2 linked regions of the Xenopus tropicalis genome follow. The protein of the gene in region 1 interacts with the protein of each later gene in a biochemical or structural test. Links are inferred from orthologs where the notes say so. Each region holds a gene or a part of one and is shown on either strand. Other genes may lie near its edges. The genes, in order: efl1 and sbds.

The links.
Region 2: the proteins of efl1 (region 1) and sbds interact in a biophysical measurement, tested with the Homo sapiens proteins (2 studies listed by BioGRID and IntAct, with this or other methods). The link is inferred for Xenopus tropicalis from reciprocal best matches to the Homo sapiens genes EFL1 and SBDS.

What each region holds. Positions count from the first base shown.
Region 1 is NC_030679.2:106,108,234-106,123,475, reverse strand, and holds part of efl1 (elongation factor-like GTPase 1), read right to left. Parts: intron 12,841-15,242; coding exon 12,709-12,840; intron 7,829-12,708; coding exon 7,681-7,828; intron 4,239-7,680; coding exon 3,235-4,238; intron 1-3,234. UniProt on the Homo sapiens protein: GTPase involved in the biogenesis of the 60S ribosomal subunit and translational activation of ribosomes.
Region 2 is NC_030678.2:98,227,568-98,243,573, forward strand, and holds the start of sbds (ribosome maturation protein SBDS), read right to left. Parts: upstream 7,161-16,006; 5' UTR 7,072-7,160; coding exon 6,944-7,071; intron 5,113-6,943; coding exon 4,983-5,112; intron 3,479-4,982; coding exon 3,278-3,478; intron 2,359-3,277; coding exon 2,194-2,358; intron 1-2,193. UniProt on the Homo sapiens protein: Required for the assembly of mature ribosomes and ribosome biogenesis.

The sequences.
Region 1 (15,242 bases):
AAATATTATATACATTAGGTAACCCTCTGTGCAATTTGTTTTTGTAATTCACATTAAATGTAACAATATTATGGTAATTGCTTCCCAGGGTGCATTTTATTTTAACACGTGCTTTTGGCTCTGTATAGCTAGAGATCACACAGTTGTGACTGTCAGGTGCCATTTATCTCACATGTGTGCCAGACACGCTGCCATTCCCACTGATAGTGTGACTTGAGCCGCAATGATTCCTGCTCCAACCATTTGTCTGCCAAAATATCCCCATTCCCATAAGCACATTTGGTACTGTGCCGTCTAGCTGCTTGTGAGCTAGATTGTTTGGCTTGTATGTGCTACAGCAAATATACTGCACCCATTGTTATAACTGTTTAGTAATTTTCAGTGCAGCTGTATATGAGGTCCCATCACTGATTTGTTACTACAAAGCGAGCTTACATATTTTGGCAAAAGTGTGGTACGAACACCTGTAAATTATTCTTCTCTAACCCTTAAAGCTACAGCATATTCCTTTACCCTGATTTAGAAGCAATTTTTGCTTGCCTTTTTTTGCAGGACCTACACTTGTTACTTAAACATTAGATTAAGTGAGTGTCCTAAATTAACTTTAGTTACAAGGCAGCATTTGCTTCAAAAGCACAATAAATAAATATAAAGAGAATGAAATCATTGTTTTTAAGTAAAAGGGAGCCGCCAGTGGATATTTATACTCCAGCCAGACATTCTTTATCTTCAGTTTGTGTTACTCCTTATGATGAATGCATTACAAAATCATGAGATAAAGAATATTTTGGGGAATTTTAATGACATGCACTTTGAGGTTTGCAATCTACCAAGTGAACCTTGGAGAGACAGCTCAGAGCCTGCCAGATAGTGCGCTTTCAGAAGGAAGAATTTAAAAGAAAGGCTGATGAAGAGTGTTTGCCTTGGGCCTTTAAGTTCACAGTGAAAAATGCATTTTCCATGCAGTAATGTAACAGAATGGCTTCTTTTGCACTTGAAAAAAGATAAAAAGATATTTCTTTTTGGTCAATTAAGATTTAATGGAAGAACAGGATTTTTTAAGTGTAACACAGCAGCTTTCTCAGTTTGTCTGCATATTTCATTAGCACTGCATCAAGCATCAAGGCTGTGTTTTATATAACAGAACAGACATGTCAAACCTGCAGCTATCCGGCTGTGGTTGAACGGTACCTCCCAGTGCATACAGCTGATAAGCATGGGTTGGGGAGTGAACATAGACTTAACTGGAAATGGGTGCATAATGCCAGGAGTACTTGCTTACTGGTAAGTGCCATTATAAACTAGCACAAAGCCCGTTAGAGCCCACAGGCTGAGCCCTAGACGACGTTACTACTGCATCATTTTAAAACTGGACATGTATGGTATTTACATGCTGAATGTTTGATCAGTAAGTGATTTAGATGGAGGGCACCTTTGAAATGTCTGACTTTGCCAATTTATAAATGACAAAGATAAGAATACAACCTTTTTAAGTGCTTGTCTGTAAATAAAGGCAGAATACATATTTATTGTTTATAGAGGTGAGATTTCACTGCAAAGGACAGAAACAGAAACCTGTGTTTTAACCTTCCCCCATCATAAAAATGATGGGCTACAAAGGGACTTAGGAGTATTTGTTAAATTCTTCACACACATAATGTTAGGAATTGTTCTGCAAACCCGCAAATCTATGGTTTTTTCTGTTTGCATATTTCACAATGTCCATTTCTGAGCACAGAGACCTGCAGATGTTCCATGAATACAGTGTTTGCCTGCATTTTGTACCTTTTATACTCATGAGGAATTGGAGTGGGGAGACGCAAGTAGGCAACCCCCTCCCCACCCCCAACTGCAGGGGTGCTGCTGCCATAAGGCAAGTTGAGAAACTCACCTAAGGTGGCAGCACCCCCAAAGTCACCAGGAGGGACAAAAAGCTGCTCCTGGTAACTTTCAAGTTAGCAAATGCAGGCCACAGTGGGGCCCTGTCCCCAGAAGGCAGAAGGTAGTGACAGAAACTCACCTAAGGTGGCAGCACCCCCAATGTCACCAGGAGTGACAAAAAGCTGCTCCTAGTAACATTCAAGTTAGCAAATGCAGGCCACAGTGGGGCCCTCTTCCCCGAGGGCAGAAGGTAGTGACAGAAACTCACCTAAGGTGGCAGCACCCCCAATGTCACCAGGAGTGAAAAAAAGCTGCTCCTGGTAACATTCAAGTTAGCAAATGCAGGCCACAGCGGGGCCCTCTTCCCCATAGGCAGAAGGTAGTGATAGAAACTCACCTAAGGTGGCAGCACCCCCAATGTCACCAGGAGTGACAAAAAGCTGCTCCTGGTAACTTTCAAGTAAGCAAATGCAGGCCACAGTTGGGTCCTGTCCACAGAGAAGGTAGTGACAGGCTGGGGCAAAAGTGCTCTCTAAAAGAGTGTGCTCTTGTCCCCCTTGCTCCCCTGGATCTTGTAAATGACCCACATAATGTCAAAGTGCATGCCAAGCCTCTAGGCTTACTATGTAGTTGGTGGCCAAGGGTTAATCTTTTTTTTTCTCTAACACCACAGGTATATTTAATAGTTAATTCTGTTTAATTTTGGATTTACTCAATGAAATACCGGGATGCTCCCAACAGATTGTGTGCTGTCAGGTACACAACTGATATTACTGATTGGCTTACCTACAGTAATACTGCACCAGGCATTGCTCATCCATTACAAAAACTCAGCCCATTTATGAATTTATAACCTGTTTGAAGCTTGCAACATAAATATGAATGGAGGGATACATAATTATAACTATTATAAATGCAGCAGCATGTATTGGCAGACGACTTAAAAAAATATATATCCATCAAGTTCTGTCAACCTTTTGTCCCAGTGAAACCTGTCTAATTTAATAGCAGTGGAAAGCCTGAAGCAGAAATTTGCTTGGGGTCAAGGATGCTAAACTTAGAAGTTTTTTAATTATATCTAGTATGTTTTTAGGAGTGGTTTCAGTCAACCTAGCCTGATCTACACAGCTCAGTGACAAGGCCTGACATAAGCTTGATGCCTCAAGTGATTCTGATTTATCTGCTCAGTAAGGCACCCATCATCAGAACTTGCTTCAAAGGAAAAAGCTGCACATCCCCATGATTCCATTTTTTAGGGGGGATTACAGTTATTACACAGAGACCCTGTCACATAGCTGTATCACTGACAATATGTTCATAACAACTCACATTTCAGTCAGGATCCCTACTCACCTAACACTTCAGCAGTTGCCATTATTTCACACGTGTACATGGCAGCCATGAGTCTCTGGGGTTTAACTTGGAATGCATAACGACAAGCTTCCTTCATAGTGGCTATAAGTTGTCCAGAAAAAGGCCCATAGCAATCTGTCAATAAGTCACCTTTTCGTTTGCTGAAAGGTCTTGCACCATTTTCAGGAATTAACTCTGTTTCCTCAGTGGCTGATGTTGAGATATTATTGATTAAGGCCCCAGTTGTCCCAGTTGTCCCAGTTTCACTATGTTCTGGCTCTGTTCTGGTATCCACTTCTGAATCTTGGCTAGCACTATCTTTAGCAAGCAAAGGCCTGCTCAGATCCAGCTTTTCCACAATAAAGCACACACCCATTAGTGGTTCCTCGCACATGGGGCCAGCAAGAGTTGCTAGCTGAAATCCACTAACAATGCTGTTGTCAAAATTTCTATATTTCCCCTCTCTAATACTTTTTTCAAGGCACTGCCAAACTGATGGCCTGTCATAACCTTCAATTCGGTTCAATAAGATATTTGGGCCATAACGTCTTGGGCCAAAGGACCATATCTGGTCCACAGCATTCCTCCACCTTCTTCCTTGCAGGAGTTGCTGGAGATTACTTTTGAATGCGGTTATCCTTTCAATGGCTGACTCATTAAAATGAATGGTGTAGCTACCTTCATTTAAAGCCATATTTATTTGCTCCATTGTTCTTATTAAATCACTGTTTTTTTCCAGAAGCTGCGTCACTTCTTCTGGAAGGGGCATGGCCCTGACACTCAGTGTAGCTAGCTTATTTGGTGTAGTCAAGGTGACTAAGCCATCAGGGTCAACCTGGACTCCTTCAGGACACTTGCTCTGCTCTTCTTTGACTTGATGTATGACCGCAATCTTCTGTTGCTTTCCAATCTCTTCATTCACCATATCAACTTTAGGTGGCCTTATGATAGTTTCTCTAAACGGTATTATAGGAGCAGACGAACTGACCTGAATCTTAGCAAACCTAAACAGGCAGAAAAGGAAAAATAACTGAGTGAGAATATATCTTTGCTAGACATAGCATACAGTATTGTGACTCCAACCAAGCAGAAATTTAATGTAGCAATAATACTTATATATGTACTGCTAAGACAAAACAATTACTAGCACAATATTTTAGCAGTGCATACATTATTACAACTCTGTTCTTCAAAAAAGCTGGGACACTGTGTAAAATAGAAATAAAAAGAGAATGGGATGATTTGCCCTATATAATTGCAAATAGTACAAAGACAACATATTACATGCTGAAACTGAGAAATGTTATTTTCTGAAAATGATATGCTTGTTTCTAAAAAAGTTGGGACATGGGCATGTTTCCTGCTGTGTTGCATCACTTCTCCTATTAACAGCCCTCTGTAACATGTGGGAACTGAGGAGACCAATTGGGCCCAAAAAAGGAGGCAGTGTTTCTGGATCACGTTTATATATGGTTTCTTCTTTGCATGGAGTTGTAACTTACATGTGTGGATTCTGAAGTATTCCTGAGCCCATGCAGTGATTCCCACTACAGAATTGAATCTGTTTTTATGCAGTGCCACCTGAGGGCACACAGACCATGTCTATGTCTCTTGTGCACAGAGATTTGTTAGGATTCTCTGAATCTTTTAACCTTCCTGACTCCTTGCTCCGCCCCCCAGCGTGACATCACACGCTCCCTACATGTCAATCCTGGTTTGCAGAGCTACGGTGTACATTTGATCATTGGGATCTATGGAACATGCACTATTTGTATAAAAACTGAAAAAGTAAGTTTTATACTTTTATCAGCTAGGTTACTCCATTTAAAATACAGAGCTTTGATTTCTTAGAACCCGGGGCAAAGAATTAAAAGACAGAAATTATTCTTTCAAGTGATTTTATCACGCATAGAAAATTATGTTGAATAAATTGCTTTTTGTATAAACTAATAATATACATACTTGTATAGAATTACATCAGATATTGTCTATGTCACTATGCAGAGGTGCTGATAGTGAAGGTTCATTTAGGTTTGCTATTTTGCATGGCCTATTTAGAGGGCACTGTGCATTATAAGCATACAGTCTCTTTTGAATCTCTCAGCATTCCTATTGATGGTCTCCAGAAGATGGGCCTGACTATATTAGAAGTAAAGTGCACAAAGTGATCTGGTCACTACAGATTGTCTCATGGGACAGACTTTAGTGACTTCTACTGTATTTGTTCAGTAAGATTGACAGATCCTGATTTTATTGATATTTATTTTGATTATTGAATCTTAGCAGAAGCTGCTGCATTTCCCCCCCTAGGCTTATACTCGAGTCAATAGGTTTTTCCAGTTTTCTTAGGTAAAATTAGGTCCCTCGGCTTATATTCGGATCGGCTTATACTCGAGTATATACGGTATGTACTGTAGATGATGAAGTCCCAGAATTCTTTAGAATTTAACATTGAGGAACATTATTCTTAAATTGTTAAAATATTTGTCCATGCAGTCTTTCACAGAGTGGGGTCCCCCTCCCCATCTTTACTTGCTCTTTTTATTATATAACATTTTCAGTCTTTTCATGCCCTTTTTTGAAATGTGTTGTTGACATCAAATTCAAAATGAGCACATATTTTTTAGAAAGCAATAAAATTCCTGAGTTTCAACATTTGATATGTTGTATTTGTATTCAGTGCAATTAAATATAGGGTTTAAATTATCTGCAAATTATCCCATTCTCTATTTATACTTTACAGAGTGTCCTAACTTTTTTGAAAACAGGGTTGTACAGTTAGAAAAGGTATGATCTGGTTTATCTCTAAATCATTAAGCATCACAAAGAGAACAGAAGGATGGGATATAAGTAGGAAAAAGCCCAAACATTATTAGCAAATGGAAATCTTACTGCAAAAGGCCAAATGACTGCACAATTTGCAAACATCTGTGCCAATATCGGGATGGTCAGCCTTACTTTAAACTTTCAAGTTGCATTCTTAAAGAACCAAAACAGAGTGAAATTTCAGGAAATAATCTCCCCCTGCACAAGGAATATTCCCAGCACCTGCTATGCCTTTGAGGAAAGGAACCTGACACTCCTGTTTCAGACTGATGGATGAGGTTGGTTACACTTGGTGCTGCATCACATTTCACTAAGATCAGTTTAAGTGGTCTAGCTCCTAACAAAAGTGGCTGTGAAATGAACTAAAAGCTAAACTGCTAGTTATGAAGCAGTGACCAGCTAATGCACTAAATTCTAAATGGGAAACAAAATGTGCATTTTGGAACATGCCCCAACTAGTTTCCTAAGCCTAGTACTATTTGAAAGAAATATTGTGATGGGCTGCTTTTAGAATGTAACCGTATTCAAACACAACAAGAGGCGTGAAAATTGACCCTTAATATTTTCTGTAGTAATTCTAGGCTAATTAGGGTAGCAGGAAGATATGGAAGTGTGTTTAGACAGATTTAATTGAGTTATTGGCAAGTGAGGAAGACATTCATTTTCTTTAAATTGGACATCTTATAATACAGTATGTTCATTTAATTTATTAGCAGCCTGGGAAAGTAATTATTCTTGCAGGTAATTGTAAACACAAAAACAGAGTGATAATGAAACTACAATAAGATTTAATAAATGATGTGGTAGAAAAGGCCTTTGTTTAAACTAGAGCCTCCTAATGAGTTGGGGGGCTTAAAAATGCCTATTTATTATGCTGTGTAAAATGAAATTCGCTGAAAAACGGTGTTAAAAGCTGTGCTAAATAAACAGAGAAGTTTGCAGTCTGAACATTAGATTTTCCGCCATTATTTCACGTAAGTTCTGGCAGAAGAAAAAAATTATGATGTGTAGAGACCCATTTTTTACACTACATAAAAAAAATCTGCCCCTTACTGTGTGGCCAACATGGAAGCTACAGTTACTAACATTGTATAAGTACAGTCCATTGTTTAAAAGTATATACATGAATGAATATAGATGGATAGATAGATGTCATTAAGCAAAACAGTTAATCAAAGACATAACAGAATTCCAAACCATGACCCTCCTAACCCGAAGAAAACAGTAACAAATCTATTTTGCCCTAGCAAATTAAAATAGCTAGCAAGCAATTCGGAGTCTCTAACACGTGCTAACAATTTGTATGCATAGCAGAGGAATGATCAGAAGCAACTGTGTTAAATGGAAAAGTGTTGTCAAAAAGGAATTAGGCCTTTGTAACTGAATCCGCAGACACTTTGGAAGCTTGGTTAGTGTTGGGGAGGGGCTGGCTTAAATACTGTCCTGGGTAAAATGACAAATGATATTGTTTAATAAACAATATGTATTTTTCATATTTCTATCAGTGATGTCCAACTAAAACTCCCTCTGCAAAGGGAAAATATTACAGTAACCAACATAAATTAGTGAGGATTCAAGGCCAGTTACTATCTGATTACAGAAATATATGTATTTTTCAACCTCTCTCTTAAATCATCCAAGCAGCGCTGTAGGTGAACTTCTCCAGCAGTGATCAGGACATGCTCTCCAGTTTCTTGTATTAAAACCTCCACGCAAGGGTCAGCCTGGTTTAAAAGCTTCATTCCTTTTACCAGCTGGGGCATTTCACCTAGAAAAAATACATAATGGTGGGGGGGGGGGGGGGGTTTAATCATGTATTACATTTCATATGGAGTACATATCATTATTCAGAAAATCCTTGTCCCATAGAGCTCTAAATTGGATGCTTGGATGACCCAGTCTAACTTTCTCAGGCAACAGATACAGTATATAAAATATTTATATATATATCGCCCCAGCCAGTGCAAGACAGAGAACTTTTTATGTCATCTTATTCAGTGTGCTGGAACTTTCACCAATTGCTATTCAGCTGTTTCTAAACTGCAGTCAATATTCAATAACTAGTAATTACTTAGCTCATAAAGTTGCCCCTTGCTCTGTACATGTCACTGCCTGTGTTTAGTAGGAGTGAGATACAGTTGGCACATGAGTGTCCCAGGCACAGTGCAGTCTTGCATGTAAACCACTATGGCACTGTCACTATAGCAACGAGATGCTTTTAGTGAATCTGGAGACCTTTAGACACTAACACATACAATAAGACCTAACACATAAAGACTTAATTGCATATGTATGAGGCGGTCTCCTCAACTCTTTTGACTTCTTTGTGAATCCCCACTCCTGGCTCTACCTAAGCTGATCAGAAAACCCTGCGCTACACTGATGAGCCCCAAGAAGGGCAAAACCAGTTTGTAGTTGGGAATCTGATCAGCTATTATCCTGGCTTTTGCTTTAAAAACCCAGTGGGTGAGCGTTAGCTTATAGGATAAACCCATGTTAATGGGATTTTTCTAGGAGCCTAAAGGAATTTGTTCCCAGAATCCCTTTGACTTATTTGCATACGTATCAGGCGGTCTCCTCAACCCTTTTGACTTGAACATAACATAACACCAGTATAACACATAATACAGTTATGGGACCAGTTATCCAGAATGCTCGGGACCTGGAGTTTTTTGGATAAGGGGTCTTTCTGTAATTTGGATCTTTATACCTTAAATCTACTAAAAAATATTTTAGACCTTAAATAAACCCAATAGGATTGTTTTGCCTCCAATAAGGATTAATTATACCTTAGTTGGGATCAAGTACAAGGTACTGATTTTTATCACAAAGAAAAAGGAAATATGTTTTAAAACTTTGAATTATTTTATTATAATGGGGAGATGACCTTCCCATAATTCGGACATTTTTGGACGGGTTTCCGGATTCTATACCTGTAACACATAATAACACTACCACAGACAATAAGGTCAGTTGCCTTACATCTATGCTGTTCAGCTTTGTACATGTATTGGGTTGATTATTTCTCATACTGCATGTTCATGGGACAATTATATTAAAGTGATGGTGTCATGCAAATATGTTTAACGAGCATGACGAGAGTCACAACCCACCCATGGGTCTTCCATACATCATCACTTACTTATATTAATCCAATAAGGTGTACATTCTCTTTGCTTGACAACTACAGTATATTAAACAGATTTTACATTTTCAGCTTTCATTCATTTAACTGTTTTGGATCAGATATGTTTCCACTTTCTCTTCCACTCCATTGTGAGCACAAAAACACCTTGTTTAGAATTTAGAGCAAGCCAGCAAGTAATTGGAAGTGGAAGCAGCTGGCATGAATGTGCCCATGGTGAATAGTACTTAGCAGGTATTAAGTAGCCCCGGGATTAGATTCACTCCAGAAACTAATAGCATTCCCTCTTGAAGGGGAACTGAGGTTGAAGTGGATTTGGAGAAAGAAACAGGAGCTGAACACCTAACAGTATCAATAATGTAGAGAAAAGACTGACAAGAGTTAGCATGAGGCTGGCTAGCATAGGGAAGGAGATTAGTCATATAAAAGGATTTGGGATGATAAAAGAGTGGGAGGGAGAAACATTCATAAATGTTTAGCTGTGTAAATTAAACATTTAGTGTTTGAAACATTATTTAATAAAGTAAAATCTACTCAGGTTCCACCACTTTATCCAGTATATAAAATTGCGCTTGTGCTAGGCCTTTACCTACTCTAATGAGTGCATTATTACATTGTGCTAAGTACAATCATAATGTTCACATAAAATAAATAATTATTATTATAATATTATTATAATAATATTATTATAATAATTATTATAATATTTTAATAACCCATTTGATTTAAAGGGGATATACTGTGTAAAAAATAAGATGACGTTGGCGCATTATACTCCTCTAAATATATAGGGAATGTGCCGAGAAAAGCTGCGTTTCAGGCTGATCTACAGAAAACCATTTTAATATGCTGAAATCCAGCTGCAAAACAGTTCTTCTCTTCCTGCATCATTTGAAATCCTGGAAGGGAAGGAGGGCCTAAAACATTGATGTTACAAATTGTAACAACTTTACAGCTTACAGACAGCAGGCAGAAACTACATAAACCACAATGCACTGCACTGTCCTTATCGACATCACGTGTGCAGGGGATTGTGAGATCTGGAGGATGCAGGCTGAAGGCAGGCTGAGGTCAACTACTGTTACATTTTTTTGAGCCTTAAAGGACATGTAAAGCCTACATTTGCCTACAATGTATATCAGCTCGGCACGTCTCCCCCACCCAAATGGCATAATTTGTACTGCATATTTCCCCTCCATTTGCCAGCACCATCACATTTTCCTAAACCAAATAGCAGCTTTCACCCGGTGGCCATTTTTTCTCTGATACATAATCAGTTACGTTTAAATCTGCAAACAGCATACACACACAGACCCTTATTAAGCATACATTTCATCAAGGATAAAGAGGCTCACACAGGCACAACTGTCTCTGATAAAAGTTCTGCTTTGTTTGAGCACTGTAATGATAAAGCTGAGCTCAGGAGAAAAAAAATTGAAGCAGACAGCTAGAGCTGAGTTTCTATGGGAACCAGCAATGGCATCTCTTCACTGGCTGCTATACTGGGGGTGTGTTTAGTAATGTGAGCTTAGAACAACTGAGCATGCCCACAAGCCAACAGCCAAAGCAAATTCCTGAGGGAGGGGTGCGAGTGGGTTACAGGAGGAGAAGCAAATCCAAGTGATTAAGGAGATGTCACAGCCTTACTATTAACCTCTGAACAACCAGAGTGGCAGGTATTGAAAGATTTTAAAGAGGCTGTTCACTGATTCAATTTTTGTGTGGGGGGTTTACATGTCCTTTAAGTAGTCAGCCAGATCAGCAGGATAACAGGGGGCCAGGCTTAGGTAACTGTTTAAAACCATATTATTACAACACAAATCATGAAAAGGCTGCATTTTTTAAATTGTTGTATATTGCAAAGTTGCTAGAAATTATGTTAACTTTTCAAAAGCTTAAGTTGCGTTTGAGTTCCCCTAATAATTTTTAGCTAAAATGCCAGAAATCTTGTTTGCATTTAAGTAAAACAAAAGTAATACAAACTTTAGGGAGGCTGATTATATATAGTATTTGAACTACACTATATAGATAAGGGTATCTGAGCACCTGCCTTTTCCATTCCAAAACTAATGGTATTAGTATATGATTGGTCTTCTCCTTCCTACTCTTACACCTTAGGGAAGGCTTTGCACCAAATTCTGGGACATTTCTGGCAGTATTTGCTTTCGTTCAGGACACAATCATTATTAGAATGAACACTGATGATGTAGATCAGGCCGGGCTCAGAGTCAGAGTTCCAAATTATCCAACAAGTGTTCAGCTGGGTTGATGGCTGGGGCTCTGTGCAGGCCAGTCAAGTTCTTACTCTCCAAGCTTTGCAAACCCATTCTGTATGGACTTTATTTTGTGAAACAGGAAAGACCTTCCCCAAATAGTTGCCACAAAGCAAAAACACAGAATTGTTACGCATCGTTACACATTTAGGAAGGCAGTGTTCTCCTGGCATCTGCCAAACACAGAATTGTCCATGAAAGGGCCAAATGTGGAAGCATGTGCGATTCATCACTCCAGAGAATGCACAGATATTTCGAAAATAGTTCTATGATACATGCTTGCCCAAACCTGATGTGGACACCAGAAGATGGTGGCACAGCACTGGCTAACCAGTAAGTAGAATCACTAATTGGGGGCTCCCCACAGTAATTTGACCTTTCATAGTATAGTACTGTATATAACCACAGCAGTTTCACTCCTCTTCACTTAAGTCATGGTTAAATCGTTCTGCATCTAAAACTTTGCGGATATCCAGCTCTCTCAAATCTCAATACCCAACATCTATGTGCATATCCTTTTGAGGCCTAAAATGACACTGACATATTTTGTCAGCTCTTACAGCCTTCTGATAAAAGAGTCTGCAGACTCTCTTTCATGTTGGTTACTCTAAAGAAATCTGACACTTCCATAAATCATATTTCATACCATAAAATTCAGTTTATAGTTCATATTTCCATAAAGCCATGTCATAATCTCTTCCCCCTCACTCTTTAATACAAAGAATCTAAAATGTGTTCTTTCTCAGGTTTCATTGCAAAAGTGAATGAAGAGACCTGTAGTGCACCTTCTGTTCCTCATCAAACAGCTTCTGGCACTTGCATATCAGTCTAACATGGGAAGGTCAGAAGCTATTTTAGTTGAGAAAGTAAAAAGAAAAAAAAACTGCTTTATTAAAAAAACAAAGTATTTTTTTTTCTACTTAGATTGGTATTTAGTGGTAAGTGCAACACAGCTGCCCTGGGAAGCATGGGGTTGCAGTATGTAGGTTGCAGACATACCAGCATGTAGTATATGGGCAGATGAAAACTGATCTGAAAGCCACTATAATGTGACACAGTAACTAGCCTGGCAACACAGGAACAGATTAAAGCTCCTGATTGTGGCATAGCGTGACTAGGCAGAGGGAAGCATGCACAGGCAGAAACAGGGTATAGACATAGATTTAAAGGGAGTCAGTGCAAAGTAAGAGAATCTGGTGCTGAGGGTCCATAAGCGTGAAGACAACTTACTTGGATGCTTTGGTTCAACAGCTACCCGGACAATTGGAGTTGCTTCAAAATTAAGAGGAATAAAGGGTGGACAAGCTGGTGAAGTGGACAGTGTTGCTGACTTTAGAACAAATTCTTCCAAACCTCCAATACCTAAGAAATAAAAAAAAATTAAAATAAGAAAAAAAGGTTAATTAAAGTGGATGGAACAGGCAAAAAAGTAAAGTAAGTTAAATTTGAATAAGGTTACAATTATGGCATATACAGTGGTGCTTAAAAGTTTCTGAACCCTTTATTTTCTATATTATTTCCTTTGTTGCCAAGATTAGTCGCCCACAGGGTAGCAAAGATCTGTCTTGGGCGACTAATCTCTCTGTGGGACATTACCCTTAAAGGAATATAGGTATAAATTCTGAATTTATAATAATACAGAACTTACTATACCAGCCAAGCAGGCCAATAACAATAATGATCTAGGCCTTTAGGCTAATGCCCTATGGAGGGATTAGTCGCCCGTGCTAGCAGAGATTTATCACAGGCGACTCACAATTTCATCCATGGTCTGCTGCTTTCTATATTCTAATAAGTTGGGAGCTATATGTGGGTATGGTGCCTTTAGAGGAATAAAACTGTTTTAGTATGGGAGGTTGAGAGTTTCTCAATCATATGGATATATCTCTGCTATAGTAGTGAATTATTATATGTAATCTGGCAGCTTTCCATACTTTTTATTAATGTTATATCATCTGTTGACTTAGAAGGCTTAGGTGACTTTAGAAGAAATGCAGAAGCAAGTTTTTGTCAACCAGGACCATCCTACATTGTACTGCTAGTGTGTCAAACATAATAAGGATTTCTTCCACTAGCTGTTTAAATTCACCCCATCCCTTAAAAAAAAAAAAAAAAGGAAAAAAAATCAAGATAGAACATTTTTAAATGCCTGCCATGCATAGAAATCTTTGCCTGTTAAAGTAGTAGGGAAATTCCATTCAAATCTACTAAAAGTTTTGGAATGTTATACAGGGTACAAGTACAAGCAAAACAAATGTGAAAAGGTTTTGGTAATTGCATTAAATGGAATGTACTGAGCACATGGAGTCACACAATTTAATGGGCCATTAGCAAAGAAAAGCTCTTGCTACACTATAATGTGGTGATTTCTAGAAAATGCCTCCTCCCCAAGGAGTTATCTCTAGCTGCCCATATAGCAGATGGATGCTAAAGAAGTACCTGAAGACAAACAAACACACTCTCATGACAAGTGAAGGATAACAGTAAGCTGGCACCAAGGCAATGCAATGAAAATGTTTTTCTGTGGGTTTCCCATTATAAAAGGCAGCATTAAAAAAAAAAAAAACAAACACAAGTGTTGTGCGAGCCCAGAGCAATTTCATAAGGTTTCAGCATGCAAGTCTCCACAGATTTTGTAAAGTAAAATAATGCTATTGGGCATAAAGCATGTGCTTCCATGACTTCCAACAGTTCCATCGCCTGTATCTCATGGCAAACGATGAAACAATGATGCCGTACCATTAAACCCAGCTACTTCTGGGCAGGGGCATAGGTGGGGGTTCCATTAAGAAACAGACTGAAAGCAGTGCACTATACCTCCCATATAATGTCACTTCATTGAGCCACACATAGCAAAGTAAAATCCCAAAACCAAAATCTTTATGACATTGAATTTTAAAATTCATTGCTAGCATTGCCATGAAGTAAGGCTTTTATGCTAATGACTTTTTAATGGGAAATTAAATTGTTGTAATTGATACAGCTAACACTGTGGGAACTTACTGGCAGTGAATGAAGGGCCTGTAGTGTGTGGCACATCTGCATTTCATTCTCTGTGAGCATTACATTTACATTTTCTGCACTAGCATGGTGAATTCAATTAGACACACGCCTGCTGATTTATAGCCCATGCTAAATTTATACCTACAAATTGCAATCATTGTGGCAGCTCAGGTATGAATTATGTTTAAATATAATCCGTTTTCATTGATTTTGCACTTTATTTTCTACTAGCATAAAACTGGCCAAATCCTTTTTACACTAATTTTTTTTTTTTCACTATCTTTTCTTGTTTGCTTGTGAGCAGTGATTGAAGATCTAAATGCACATTACACAGAGGAACAATTCACTATATGCACATTTTTATACTATTGCTATTTCATAACCACAGCTTATGTTTTCCCCAACAATCATATAATCACTCACAGCACTAAGTAGCCGATTTTTAATCAGAAGGCCTAAGGGCCATGACACACCGGGAGATTAGTCGCACCGCAACAAATCTCTGTTGTCGCAGGTGACTAATCTCCCCGCAATGCCACTGGCTAGAATGTAAATCACCGGTGGGATGGAATACGCGTTGCCGCAATTTGCCGAAGTCACCAAAGTTTCCTCTCAAGGCGACTTCAGCAAATCGCGTCGCTGTGTATGCCATCCCACCGGCAATTTACATTCTAGCCGGTGGGATGGCATTGCAGGGAGATTAGTCGCCCGCGCCAACTGAGATTTGTCGCAACTAATCTCCCTGTGTGTCACGGCCCTAA
Region 2 (16,006 bases), on another chromosome or scaffold:
GTATGCACATTTATTGTTGTGCAGAATAAAAATTAAAAAGCCCAGATATGACCCAGAAAAGATAATTATGTGTTTCATGCTTTCTAGTTCTAAATAATATACATGATTATTTGCTGGAAAGCATAAAATATGCGTAAAGCATGCATAAGACTATGATCGTTTCTGGATCTATGCTTTTCAATCACTGACTAATAAAATTTTAAAGTGAGGATTCCTTTTTTTAGCCGTTCACTAGGCATTTTTTAGCACTCAAACATTTTTATAATGTGGAAGACTCTCTCCAAACTATTGTTTTTGATGTATAGATTAAGGACAGCATTTAGCAACTACTGAGTTTTCTGCAGGCCTTGCTATTAGTAAGATAATCGTGTCGTAGGATTGCCCCAAGATGCCCTTCCAACTCTGTTTGGAAAGTAGAAAGAAAAAAGTTCTGACCTCTCAGATGAGTTTTCCCCTAATCCTAAAACTTACAGGACAATGGCAGAAAGTATGAGGGTAACCGTATCATTTATATAGTGCTTTTACAGCAGATGATAGGGTACATCAGTGCTGTCCAACTTCTGTTGTACCGAGGGCCGGAATTTTTCCGACCTACGTGGTGGAGGGCCGATAATGGAAGCCAGTTTTGACCACTCCCCTTTTTGAAACCGCACCCACTTGAAACCACACCCATGTTATCACATGACCGTACCCATATTAATGGTTGTAGTACAGCAAAAACCTGCCCTACTCTGCCTGCCCTACCCGGCCGGTGTGTGCCCTACTCTGCCTGCCCTACCCGGCCGGTGTGTGCCCTACTCTGCCTGCCCTACCCGGCCGGTGTGTGCCCTACCCGGCCGGTGTGTGCCCTACCCGGCCGGTGTGTGCCCTACCCGGCCGGTGTGTGCCCTACCCGGCCGGTGTGTGCCCTACCCGGCCGGTGTGTGCCCTACCCGGCCGGTGTGTGCCCTACCCGGCCGGTGTGTGCCCTACCCTGCCTGTGTGTGCCCTACCCTGCCTGTGTGTGCCCTACCCTGCCTGTGTGTGCCCTACCCTGCCTGTGTGTGCCCTACCCTGCCTGTGTGTGCCCTACCCTGCCTGTGTGTGCCATACCCTGCCTGTGTGTGCCATACCCTGCCTGTGTGTGCCATACCCTGCCTGTGTGTGCCATACCCTGCCTGTGTGTGGTGTGCCATACCCTGCCTGTGTGTGCCATACCCTGCCTGTGTGTGCCATACCCTGCCTGTGTGTGCCATACTCTGCCTGTGTGTGCCATACTCTGCCTGTGTGTGCCATACTCTGCCTGTGTGTGCCATACTCTGCCTGTGTGTGCCATACTCTGCCTGTGTGTGCCATACTCTGCCTTCCCTACCCTGCCTGTGTGTGCCATACTCTGCTTGCCCTATGATGACTGTGTGTATGGCACACACAGGCAGCCTACAGTGACACAATGCTGGCACTGCTCCTACAGTCTGCACAATAACTATATATTAAAAAACTTTTTAATTGAAGTACCACCTCAGTATATGTTCTTTTTGTAGTATGCAGGGATTATTTGTGGGTTTCTACTGCTCCTGAGGTGTGAACAGGGGAACAATATGGGTGATTACAGCCTGAGCCTGAGGTGTGAACACTGCAGGGGGTGAACAATGCAGAGATTAAAAGGTGTGAACAACACAGGGGATTACATATTTAAACAATACAGCCTGATTACAGCCTGAATCTAAGGTGAGAACCATGCAGGGGGCCATTTAATCTCAGTACTGATACCATTTAAAGCTTACACAAGAGTAAGCCATCAAAGCAGCCAGACAGGTGGGGGGCCACACAGAGGGGGGTCGCGGGCCGCCAGTTGGACAGCACTGGGGTACATGTAAGAGAGAGTGGGTCATAACATGGTCTATAAGCTGGTGGCAAAATGACATGTCAAAAGGCATGTCCTATTAAAAAGCTAAATCCCTTCTAGAAGAGGTAATTCAAATCATTGCTTTGCAACAATAATTGTGCATAATAACTTCTGTGATGTCTTCCATGCTTTAAGCTTACAATGTCACTTCTCTTTACTCCACCTTATAGACATATGATTTTCATCTGCAAATCTGTCATCTCATTCCCCAAATTACTTTAGGCATGCTTTTATTGTATAACTGTTTTTAAGATTAGCATATCAGTAAAGAGATATATTCCAAATATTTAAAAGAAAATGTTACTTACAATTTCCAGCTCTTGATCAAAGTTCTCACTCTCTGTGTGCTTTATTAAAGGCTTCAGTTTCTCTTTCAATTTCTTTCCATCCTTAGCTGGTAAAATGAATCGCAGTCTCATGTGGGCACGTTCAATCTGCATTGTTTCTTTCAGCTGCTTGATAACATCTAATGCCTGCAGTGTACACATAACCATCAAAATAATACTATTAAAGTTATACTGTCATGAGAAAACATGCACTGTGTTTATAATATATATAAAAAAATGTAGGAAGAGGATCGCTTGTTTGCAGCTACCCCGGGGCTGGTGCGATTTTCTCCTAACAGGAGCACCAACCCAGGTTATAATGTAAGCGAGTACAATCACTTCTTCATTCCCTTCTCCGTGCTATTTTTTTTGCTAGTTGTTTGTTGCGGGTTACTGCCAGAGACATAGGTTGTAAGGTCCTGGACTAATTTGGCACTAATAGGATTAAATAGCAGGCAGAACACATTTTTAATACAAGCTTTATTTATAAGGCTCATGCTGAGCATGGTGGTATATTGCACATTAAAGTAGAACTCCCATTTTAAGTTTTTCGGGGGACCAAAAAAGGGAAAAAAATTGTCAGGAAAATAAATTATGCATTTCATATTGGCAGGACCATAAAAAATTGTGTTAAATGAGGAAAAACTAAAGATCAGGGTATGTAAAATTGAGGTTTCACTGTACTGTGTACTAATTATAGAAACAATCCCTAACTAAATCAAACCTTACTAAATAACAGTGATAGTGTTCCTCTGACATCTATGGAGCACACATTTACTAAGCAACATAGCACCTGTAATCAATTATTTTCACCCAAGACTTTGCTTACTTGGTGTTAAATGAAGGTAACATTGTCTTTAACAGAAATACAATATTTATAAACTTTAAAACGACAATAACTTCTTCCCCTCTCTCTTTCTAAGAATTTTATTTTGATAATACTTTTCCATTCAGGATGCATGAATAAAAGATATCACAATTTTTACATAGATAATTTGTGTTCTTCTTCTAATAATTTCAAAACTACCGAGATCTCCGAAGGATTACCAGTAGTAAATATTTTTACCTGTTGCTTGGTGCTCTTGGTTGCTTTCACCGAGTAGTGAATATCTTTCATTGCTCGTTCAATAAGGTTAACAGTGTAAGGCCTCTTTGTCTCTGGATTTACACATTTGTCAGCCACAATTGTTGCAATATCTCGAAACATCTGTTCTAATTGCGTGCTCCGCTCTTTTTCTGAAACTTGAAGTTCTCCTTTAGATAAAATCTAAAAAAAAATAAAAATATATGCATTAAAGATATTTTTTATAATCACAAAACAAAAAAAAAGGGAGGGAAAAAAAGCAAATTGGACGTAATGTCACACAAAACTACCAAAATGGGCTGGACAAAATTATTGGCACCCTTTCAAAATTGTGGATAAATAAGATTGTTAAACTCACCTGGGGCAAGTAACAGGTGTGGGCAATATAAAAATCACACCTGAAAGCAGACAAAAAGGAGAGAAGTTCACTTAGTCTTTGCACTGTGTGTCCTTGTGTGCCACACTAAGCATGGACAACAGAACGAGGAACAAAGAACTGAGGACTGAGGACTTGAGAACCAAAATTGTGGAAAAATATCAACAATCTCAAGGTTACAAGTCCATCTCCAGAGATCTAGATTTGCCTTTGTCCACAGTGCGCAACATTATCAAGAAGTTTGCAACCCATGGCACTGTAGCTAATCTTCCTGGGCGTGGATGGACGAGAAAAATTGATGAAAGGTTGCAACACAGGATAGCCCAGATGGTGGATAAGCAGCCCCAAACAAGTTCCAAAGAAATTCAAGCTGTCCTGCAGACTCAGGGAGCATCAGTGTCAGCGCAAACTATCAATCGACATTTAAATGAAACGCTATGGCAGGAGACCCAGGAGGACCCCACTGCTGACACAGAGATATAAAAAAGCAAGAAGCTGGAGAGTCCTGAAGTGGCCAGCAATGAGTCCAGATCTAAATCCCATTGAACATCTGTGGAGAGATCTTAAAATTGCTGTCGGGAAAAGGTGCCCTTCCAATAAGAGAGACCTGGAGCAGTTTGCAAAGGAAGAGTGGTCCGAAATTCCCGGTGAGAGGTGTAAGAAGCTTATTGATGGTTATAGGAAGCGACTGATTTCAGGTATTTTTTCCAAAGGGTGTGCAACCAAATATTAAGTTAAGGGTGCCAATAATTTTGTCCAGCCCATTTTTGGAGTTTTGTATGACATTATGTCCAATTTGCTTTTTTACTCCCTTTTCTGTTCTGTTCTGTTCCAATACACCCAAAAAGGGAATTAACATGTGTATTGCAAAACATGTGTTACTGCAATACTTTTCTGTGAGAAATACTTGATTTTCTGGAAAAATGTCTGGGGTGCCAACAATTTGGGCCATGACTCAACAGCCTTCATATTCTGTAGATGGATATCAGTCAGTTTGAATGCACAGTCAGCACCATGAGGGTAAAGTGCAACACAGGATGAAGTCTACAATGGACATCAGTATTAAATCCAGTGGAGTAGAACACCAACAAACCCACTCAGAGCTATTCAGTCTGTAACAAATCTTAAATGTATAAGACCATATTAGATAACTCAGCTATAAACTGCAATTAAAGAGTCCAGGGAAAGGAACATCTATGACACAGGCAAGTGGAATCGAATTTTGATCATTATAAATTTATGAGCAGATAAAAATACAGTTATAGACTTTACTACTAATCATAATTTATTTTCTTCACTAATTTTACTAACCTGCTTACAGATTTCTGTCGGGTCTTCAGTGCCAAATGATTTGAGAAGATCTTCTTTTTTAGCTACTTGGCCTTTAGATACATTCATAAATACAGAGTGGGTTTGCAATACTTCATCAAGATCTTTTTCACTGCAAACAAATAATATACATGTAAGCTTCGAGTATTCATAAAACTCCTCTACCCTTTTTCATATGGTTAGGGCTTCAGACAAAAACTTGTCCTTTAAAGTGATAAAGCCTTTTATTTTTGTCTGTAAGTTACCCACCCACTTAATGGGGAAGGGAACCTCCTTTCTCTTGTATCTTAATAATCAGCACTTAATCATTAATATACACTGTAATTGTATTGTTTCCTGCTTGTTCTATTACTTTATTCTTTATCATGTACAACAGCTCTACATCCCCTTCCCTCCTACCAGTGCACACCTCAGTGAGAAGTGGGGCAAATGTTGCAGAGAGCTGCTTTGTATTTAATGGCTTACACTGTAATAACATCATGGACTAACATTTAGTACAAATTGCTTAAGTGATACTGACACTAAAAAAACACTCTTCAAAACATTAAAGGGGTAAGTCACCTTTAAGCTAATTTTTAGTGTTATAGAATAACCTATTCTAAGCAACTTTTCAATTGGTCTTCATAATTTATTTGTTATAGTTTTAGAATTATTTGCATTCTTCTTCCAACTTTTTAAATGGCGGTCACTGACCCCCAAAGCCAAAAAACTATTGCTCTGTGTTACTTTTTGTAACTTTCTTTTCTATTCAGGCCCTCTCCTATGTAACAGTCTCTCATCCAAACCACTTCCTGGTTGCTAAAGTAACTTGGACCCTAGCAACCAAATAAATGCTGAAATTTCAAACTGGAGAGCCTTTGAATTGAAAATGAAATAACTAAAAAAACATTAAGCTGCCTATACACAGGCAGATCCGCTCGCTTGGCAACAACCTACGGGTGGTTGATATCGGGTAACATGTAGGTGAATTCGATCGTTTGGCCCAGGGGCCAAACGATCAAATTCTAACGGCGGCAATGGGGCAGTCGGTTCGGGGGCCGCATCAACGAGCCGATGCGGTCCCTGATCCGATTGAATTTTCTAACCTGGCCGATCGATATCTGGCCAATTTCAGAACAGATATCGGTCGGCCAGGCCCCTCGTTTCTGCCCCTACATGGGCCAATAAGCTGCTGAATCGGTCCAAGGGACCGATATCGGCAGCTACAATCAGCCAGTGTATGGGGACCTTTATAGCTTCTAATGCTAATGGACTTCTGCTGCACAAATATGACAGCCTCCTCATAGAGAAACATGGGGGATCAGGTATGGAATAAAAAAGCATTTGGCAGAGACTTTTAAAGGAGAAAAAAAGGCTAAGTCACTTGGGGGTGCCAAAATGTTAGGCACCCCCAAGTGGCTTTAATCGCCTACCTTTTAGCCCGGGCTGGTGCCCCTGTTAGGAGAAAACCGCACCAGCCCGGGGTAGCTGTGAGCGTGGTCTCCTCTTCCTTCTTTGCGCGCTTGCGCATGCGCAGTAGAGTGAAAAGCCGAACTTTAACAAAAAAGTCAGCTTTTCGCTCTACTGCGGTTTTCTCCTAACAGGGGTACCAGCTTGGGGTACAAGGTAAGCGATTAAAGTCACTTGGGGGTGCCTAATATTTTGGCACCCCAAGCCTTTCCTTCTTTAAGGTAAAATTATAAATAGCATGCAAAGACAATGTTATGAAAGCCATAAAAAAGAAGGCTCAGAAACCTTTTAATTTATAATGTTGCAGTTAAGCAAATATTCTAAATGTAAAAGCCAAATATAAAAGTACAAAGTCAAGCCTCTTAACCTAAACCACAACACACCATGACAAACCGTAGGCATCTGCCAGGCAGGCAGAAACTATAGCAAGCTCTCCCTCAAATCAGTCCAAGTAACATTTACCGCTGTAACACAAGCAGGTAATAAATACTCACGCCCCACTTCTCCAGCTCATGACTTTGTTTTTGTAGCAGGCAATCTCAAATCGCTTTCCTCCTTTCTTCATGCGCACCACAGCGACATTGGTAAGGCGAATCTGGTTGGTTGGGGTAAAGATGGACATTTTGCCTGTAAACGTCTCACCCCACGAAAGCTGTTTTCAGACAAATGTAACAAAGTACTGAAAACGCACAAACAAAATTTCAGTTTTCCCACACGCTAGTTTCTGGCGCAGCAGGAGTTGCACATGCGCAGAGAATGTTTCCCTTAGCGGAAGTGCTTATCAGGGTCTGTGCGCACTCTGAGCTTGGCAGCAAGTTGTTGCTTCTAAACATTGTCAATAAAGTTCGTTTGGTACTACGGCAAGGAAAAACAGTGTATAAGGCATGACACTTAAGAAACAAATATGGCTGCCCCCAGCGAGGCATGAGTGTGTGTCTGTGACCGTGTAAACTACTGCATGTTGTGACAGGATCTTACGTGCCTTCCGTCGTTTCTTTTAGAATGACACAGACTCTGATTTTGGGAATTCTCCCACAAGCAGCTTTTGTGGCCGCACAACAAGTTGATACGGGTGAGTACGAATATAGCTGAGGCCTCCCGGTGTCGTAGTTTGGGCATCTTGTTAAAAGTCGTCAGCTGAGGGGAAGAAGTACTTTTACTAAAAAGTACACTGTTTTTAGCACAACCTACGATTCCTAAAAATGACAGATTTTGTGTACTTCCACTCCTGTAGTAACAAGAGTTTTGAATAATCAAGAGAAATGTCAGAAAGAGAAATGTCAGAATGTTATTGTATACTTGAATAATACAACTGATTTGGAAAACCCCATGACTTCTAATTTCCAATACGGTTTATGTGTAGAATTGACTTGTATTTAAAGATTTAAAATCACCACACCAGATATAAGCACACTTTAGGTTGTGAGGCTAAAAAGGTCATAATTGTTTTTTCAAATTTATGAAAATTGACTGAATACTTTAAATGTTCTGCATATTATCTGCCACATATCCTTATTACAAATCATAAATCTGAATGCAACGGGTCTTGCGAACATATTGTGGCATGTAGCTGGCTCAAAACAAAAATAGTGCATACAAACTTTGATGAATGACGTTTCAAGTACAAGAAAATAAAAAACCTCCTGCTTATTGAATGTGGTAAAATTGTTTAAGTAGTGGTGTAGTTACCATACAGTGACTTTGTGACCAGGGTTCCATTGGAGAGGTGGGGCCAGACCACAGGGTCTGCTCTGTGGTGCCATATCATACTGACTTGTGCCTTGAGCCTCTTCAACATTTTTTCCAAAAAATAGTTACTAAGGGGTTGATTCACTAAAGTGCGTTAAAACGAGCGCTATTTTTATAGCATGCGGTAAAAATTTTATCGCTTCTTATATTTTGGGACTTAATGCACGATGAGCATTTTTTCTTGCGTTATTTTCTGCTGCGCATGATGTATTTCGGCGCTTGCTATATTAGCATGTGATTTTACGCACGTAACCATTACTTTCGGAAAACTACTGTTCTGAAAATGACCATTTCCCTGAAAACTGGAGGCTGCATCAGTCTAGGGCCAACACATACTTGAAAAAATCCCAGTGCAAAGTCCATGTTGTGTTGCCAAAAGCTCACGAACCACAATTTTCTTTAAGTACCGCCTGCCCCAAGTAGGTGTTAATCTTCGCACAGACTTATGCAATATTTAGCTCATTTAACGCTTCATATGTATTTGTGAATCATGCGTTAGGATTATTTCTACGTGCGAATTAACGCAATGCAGGAAAAATAATGCATTGCAGTAGCGCGTGATCTAACGTGTGCAAAATTACTTTGACGAATCGGGCGTTATTTATCGCATGCTTTTTAATGCAAAAAAGCATGCGATAAGCGTTATCGCACTTTAGTGAATCAACCCCTAAGTGCACAAGTTGTGCATGTGGTGGTTGGGAGCGTGTTACGAGTGATGGAGCAGTTTATCTAAGGTGGTGCTAGGGTGGCCCTGCAGTGTATTTAGTGTCCCAGCTAGTCAAAATTGCCATTTGAACATTTTTTTGGAAAAAAATACTGTATCCAGTATTTTTATTTTTAAAATGTGTCTGAGTACACTTGTCAAACCATGTTTTCTGTGTATAAGTCAGCCCACCTACCAAAATAAAGTGTATTTCACTTTCCTGGGTGCAGGAAGGAGAAGCTGGTTGGCAATTAGATCCTATATGCTGTCATGTAGCCCAAGATGGTGGAACCGGGAGAGGCTTAGTAAGCAAAGTAAACAGGTCTGTGGGGATCATAAATTCTACATTGTATGGCACTGTGTGGTGCCTAAAGTGCTAAATATTTAAAGTATGTGTATGCTAACTCTTACCCACTATGAAAACATACTTGGGATAAAAGAAGGAAGATACTGGGGCCTGTGTCCTGCCAGTAAGACCAAAGGCACATGACAATAGTAGATGCTTTGGCTTGACACCTGAAATTTTTTTTAGTAGATTTGTTGTGCCAAATTGCCCAAAAATGTTTTTCTGTTTTGGAAATGTGACCATTATAACAGCCAGTGGGAACAATTTGATGCCACCCCCTGAGCTATTCAAAAATTATAGTTTCTAGCATAGCCCTAATTTTATGCCAAGGAAATGAAGAAAAAGAATAAAACCTTAATTTTCCACGCACCAGACATTTAACCCTGCTGATAATAGTGAAACAGCACATCTGCCATTAAGGGCTCTGGCACACGGGGAGATTAGTCGCCTGCGACAAATCTCCCTGTTCGCAGGCGACTAATCTCCTCGAATTGCCATCCCACCGGCGACAATGTAAGTCGCTGGTGGTATGGCACATGCTGCGCAGGCGATTTCGCCAAATCACTGAAGTTGCCTCGCAAGGCATTTTCGGCAATTTGCCGAAATCGCGCCGCCGCATGTGCCATCCCACCGGCGACTTACATTGTCGCCGGTGGGATAACAACTGATGGCAACTCGGGGAGATTTGTCGCGGGCAACTGATCTCCCCGTGTGCCAGAGCCCTTAGGCAGATTAAGGTTACAAAGAAACTCAGGGTTGAAGAAAACATTAGTGGTTTGTAAGGCGGGGTAAGAGACCATGTTGAGACCCAGTGAGAGACTTCTTTTATTTAAACAACGGGGATCCAGAAATCCTGATCACACATATAACACATTTGTGGATGTGTATCATTGCTCCAGCAAAGGAGGTGTCTGAAGACCTTGGAAAAAAAGTTGTTGATGCCCATAAAACTGGAAAAGTTTGCAAGACTATCTCTAAAGAATTTGGACTTTGTCAGTCAACAGTCTGATTGTGTACAAATGGAGAAGACCGTTGTTGCCCTACCCAGAAGTGGTTGACCATCAAAGACACATTTAAGGCATCATATTTTTGTTTCATTTGTTTAACTAGGTTTTCTTCATCTACTTTTAGGACTTGTTTGAAAATCGGATGATGTTTTAGGTCACATGCATATAAAAATATAGAAAATTTAAAGTGGACCTGTCACCTAGGCATAAAAATCTGTATAATAAAAGCCCCTTTCAAATTCATTATGAACCCCAAACTCATTTTTTTATTAACACATCCATACCCGTTATAAAAGCATTTAAAAATCCCAACTGTCAATCATATTTTGCCTGCCCCGCCTCTATGCCTTAGGCATAGAGGTGGGACTGGCAGTTACTTTCACTTTCAATTCAGAACTTCTTAGGATGTTGCTGCACTCCTCACATTCCCCCTCCCTTCTCACAATGTAATTTTGTAACCAGTGCATGGACATGGGCACCAGGTCCCCCCATATTGCCACAGAAATAAGATTTTGACAGGATGTAAAGCTTCCCTTAATAACAGTGTCCACAAAATGGTGCCTGCCTGCTTGCTGCAATTCCTGTGAATTCCAAGGATGAAGAAAATAAGATTAAACTAATTTATATGGTGTAAGTGCAGTTTACTTTGCTTGACAAACACAATTGAAAACAATCTGGAATTATTTCTTAGGGTGACAGGTCCCCTTTAAAAGGGTTCAAAAACTTTCAAGCAGCACTGTATATACATAAAAACATTCTGTATGCACTTGTAAATAATGGTACAATGGAACATTAAATGCTTACACACCCAGTGTTACAACAAAAAATACATTTGTTGGTTCAAGAATACAATTTTAAATAGTAGAATGAATTATTTCCAATGTACACAGTGTAATTTGGCAATAAAAACTAGAATCCTTTAACAAAAATAATCTGGTTGTTCATTAGGTTTTTCTTTGCATTTCATACAGCACGTTGATACATTGTTTACTATGTCTTTTTTTTTTTTTTTGTCTTTTTAAGATATGTCTACAAACGCATGGGATTTTGCCTATACACATCTGATGTTTTTGTGGCTGAACAGGTTTTACATATACTCATGTGCTGCTATTGGTATCACTGTTTGGTTCTGCAGCCATTTTATCACAGCTAGAAAAAAGCAGCAGGTAATTATAAAATGTGATTTGTTGGCAGCATTGACAACTTTTTGTCATTTAGTTATTGTGTTATTTTTAAGATATCTTGTACATCATTTTAAAAACTTCTGCCTTGGTTTAAGAATTCAAGGTCTGGAGAACAAATTATGAAATTGGAGTATCTTACGACCATGGAAGACTTAACATTTTACAACTCCCCATTATGATTGTCACAAGATTAAACTGTCCCTTAATATCAATTAATACCAATTCCCTTTGAAAAAAATTTTAAGCTTTGTGGATCATTTCGAACTACGTTTATTTAAATTTTTTTACTTTAATTACAGTTGAATTTTCTGCCTTCTGTGTTGTAATCATATGGCTCTCTGTTATGCCTGTAATTTGTCTGATTGCCTGGGCTAATGGCACTTAGCAACTAGAAAGCAGTCACTTATTTATCCTTTATTTACATCACTGATTGCCAGAATGATTGTGACCCTATCAACCAATTATGTTTACATTGCATGCATTTTTAAAAAATGAAGCAGAACTGCAAATTCTTATACAATCACTAAAGGTTAATTTATTTTAGTAAATGTATAAAATAAATTTTGTGCTAAAAGGCTTGCATGTCCTATTGATTAGGCGGGAAAGATTTGAGGGGGAAAGAGAGCAACAAAAACCCCTAGGTTCTATTAATCTAAATCTGAAGTAAAAAAAAAAAGTCCATTAAATTAAGCCAGCCTTGGTCTATGCAAACTATGAATAATAGTGTTCCTACTGCAGTTGCTTGCGTGAAATTAACATACATAGTGATTCCTATTAACTATGAACAAACCAATTTAAGAAAATTCCTAGCTTTTATTGTTATTTCTCTGCAAATTCTTTAAGGGCAAAACATGTCACAAAAAGCCTTGTGTTTCATAAGTCTTAGCCTAAATTAATGTACTGAACAAACCCAATGCAGTATCATTTAGGACAGTGCTGTCCAACTTCTACGGTGCCGAGGGCCGGAATTTCTCTAGCATACATGGTGGAGGGCCGCTAATGGAAGCCAGTTTTGACCACTCCCCTTTTTGAAACCACACCCACTTCAAACCACACCTATTTTATCACAATGGTGGTAGCACAGCAAAATCCCAAATGCTTGGTCCTTACTGTGGGGATATCAACCATCATTCATATGTGAAAGAATTATGTCATATTAAGATATACCCTTAAATTCCATATGCCTCCTCCTCCCCTGTGGATAGCAGAGCAACCCCCAGTACATAATTACACACCTTTGGGACCATTTAATGGCAATTTCCAACTGCTAACAAACTCCCACAACAAACCCCTGCCAGGTTCACCTCCCACAAGCAGCATAGGGCAAGCAGAGTATGGCACACACAGGCAGCACACTGCCTGTCCTATGCTGTCTGTGTGCCATACTCTGCCTGTGTGTGCCATACTCTGTCTTCCCTATGCTGCCTCTGTGTGCCATACTTTGCCTGCCCTACCCTGCCTGTGTGTGCCATACTCTGCCTACCCTGACTGTGTGCACCATACTCTGCCTGCCTACCCTTCCTGTGTGTGCCATACCCTCCCTGACCTATGCTGCCTGTGTGTGCCATACTCTACCTGCCCTATGCTGGCTGTATGTGCCAAACTCTGCCTGCCCTATGCTGCCTGTGTGTGCCATACTCTACCTGCCCTATGCTGGCTGTATGTGCCATACTCTGCCTACAGTACCTATGTCTGAGGTGTGAAGAAGTGAACAATGGGAGTGATTACAGTCTGAGCCTGAGGTGTGAACAATGCAGACATTAAAAGGTGTGAAAAACACAGGGGATTGCATTTTTAAACAATACAGAGGGATTACAGCCTGAATCTGAGGTGAGAACCATGCAGGGGGCCAGTTAATCTCAGTACTGATACCATTTAATGCTTACTCAAAGGTAAGCCATCAAAGCAGCCAGACAGGTGGGGGGCCACACAGAGGGGGGCCGCCAGTTGGACAGCACTGATTTAGGAGATCTGTCCTTAAAGGAGAAGGAATGGCATTTTGTCATTTTATTGCCAATGGATTAGCCTGTGTGACTGCAAGACTGTGATTGGCTATCCCCCTCCTGCTGTGCTTCTGGCAGGGACTGTGTTTCATTTAAAACACAGACCAGGACCTGAGAGGATCTATAGGGAGCTCCAATAAATGGGCAATTTTTGCAGACAGTATTCAATTTTAGCCCAAAGTGAAACCAGCACCATATATTATTCATAATTGCCAACAAGTTTAGTTTCCCCAATCTGTCTGGTAATGTTTAACACTTTTGTTTTCTAAGAATGAAAATGTTCACAATGGTTCTCTGCCACTGAAGACAAAAACCTTAAAAAGCTACAATTCACCATCTATTAAGGAGCAAGATGTGTATGTTGCTGGTGTGAAAATTTTCTATGGCTCTCAAACAGGCACTGCCAAGGTAGGGTTTATTGCTTTATTCTAAAATGCTCTTAAGTTGTGTGTGCTTTGGCCTTAATCTTGATGTTTACTAAATTGTTTATGTTATACCTTTAGGGTTTTGCACATATGCTGGATGGAGAAATCACTCTTCTTGGGCTGCCAGTGGAAATTATTAACATGAAAGAATATGATCCAGATGACAACTTAATAGAAGAAGTATGACTTTGTCCATTTTACTAAAATATTCTATTGTTCGGTTAAAGTGTTTCTTAACAGCTCTGTTACATTAACATGACAGGTATACTTTGATTTCCTAGCTTTGTGACATGCAGTTCATATGAAGTGTGAGTTACAAGTCTTAATATTTTCAGGGAAAATATATATGAAAGTTATGTATGGAACATACACTTTGGCCTTAAAATTGTAGCCAGGGTCACAAATGATTGTCACTAGTGGGATAATCCACTAGGTTAGCTCATAACCTGGCTAGTGATCCATGAACTATATCCATGCCAAACATAAGCCAACAAGACATATTTAACAGTGTTGTACATTTAATAGGGGTATACACTGAACAAACAGATTACATACAATAATTAACAGCCATTAAAAAAGGAGCAAAGAGGGACTTTCACAAAAGAGCTTACAATCTAAGAACAGCTGAAGGACATTTTAACATTGAAATTGATAACCTTCTTATTTAGTTGTATTTTCACAGTCAAATCTATTCTACACTGGAGTAATATTTTTTTTCTTTTTTTAGGCCACCAGTAAAAACGTTTGTGTGTTTCTGGTAGCCACCTACACTGATGGACAGCCGCCTGAAAGTGCAGAATGGTTCTGTAAGTGGCTTGAGGAGGCCTCCAATGACTTTAGATTTGGAAAAACCTATCTTAAAGGCATGAGATATGCTGTATTTGGACTCGGAAACTCTGTATACAGCACGCATTATAACACGGTATGTTTATTTTTTCACTTTTTGTTATGTTGATATGTGTTTCTAGAATGTTCTCTGTACAAGCTCTGTCTTCATCCTTCCTTTTTCTTCCTGTTCCTTTTTATAGTCACAGCGTGCATCGTGGCTTATAATATCCATATTTTAAACATCTTGGTAGACATGGTTCCATAGTTGTTCTACTTTGCTGCTACTTTTTAAAACACCCAATTTTGCTACTACATACAGTTGTGCTTGAAAGTTTGTGAACTATATTTTTATATAAATGCCTAGGCCCAGATGCAGCAAAACAGGCCCAAACCAGAACACTCCCACCACCATTTTTTACAGATGGGATAAGGTTCTTATGCTGTAATGCAGTGTTTTTCTTTCTCCAAATGTAATGCTCCTCATTTAAGCCAAATAGTTCTATTCTGGCTTCATACGTCCATAAAACTTTTTTCCAGTATCCTTTTTTTGGCAAACTGAAGAGATGGTGAGCAATATTTTTGGAGGAGTACAGTGACTCTCTCCTTGCTACCCTGCCAACAACACCATTACTGGTCAGAGTTCTCCTGATGGCGGACTCCTGAACATTAGGATTCGCCAATGTGAGCCAGGCCTTCAGTTGCTTTGAAGTTAACCTGGGTTCCTTTGTAACTTAGGAAACTTTTAGAAGGCTTGTAGTTGGAGTTGGTTGACCCCTTCTGGGTAGGGTAAAAACGGTCTTGCATTTTTCCTCTATTCATACAAAATTTGTCTGGTTGTTGATCGGTGGAGTCTAAACTCTCTTTCTGACACCTTCTTTGTTGGAGCCATGATACACATCCACAGTTGTGTTGTATGTGTGATCAGGCTTTGCTGGATCCCTGTTCTTTAAATAAAACAGGGTCTCTCACTCATAACTGATCATCATCCCATTGACTGAAAACACCAGACACCTTCAAATTATATGATAATCCTAAAGATTCACTTACTTTTGTCACACGCAGATATGTTATTGGACCATTTTTTTAAAAATACATGACAAAATATAATTGTTTCATTTGTTTAACTACCTTTTCTTCATCTACTTTTAGGGCTTGTTTGAAAATCAGATGATGTTTTAGGTCACATTCATATTATATATATTAAACTTTCCTATATTTTTTTTTTTTTATTGGTATTTTGTGCAAGTTATGGCACAGACATTCAAAAGGTCAATAATAAAAGCATAATAATACAATCGAATAGTTAAACCAA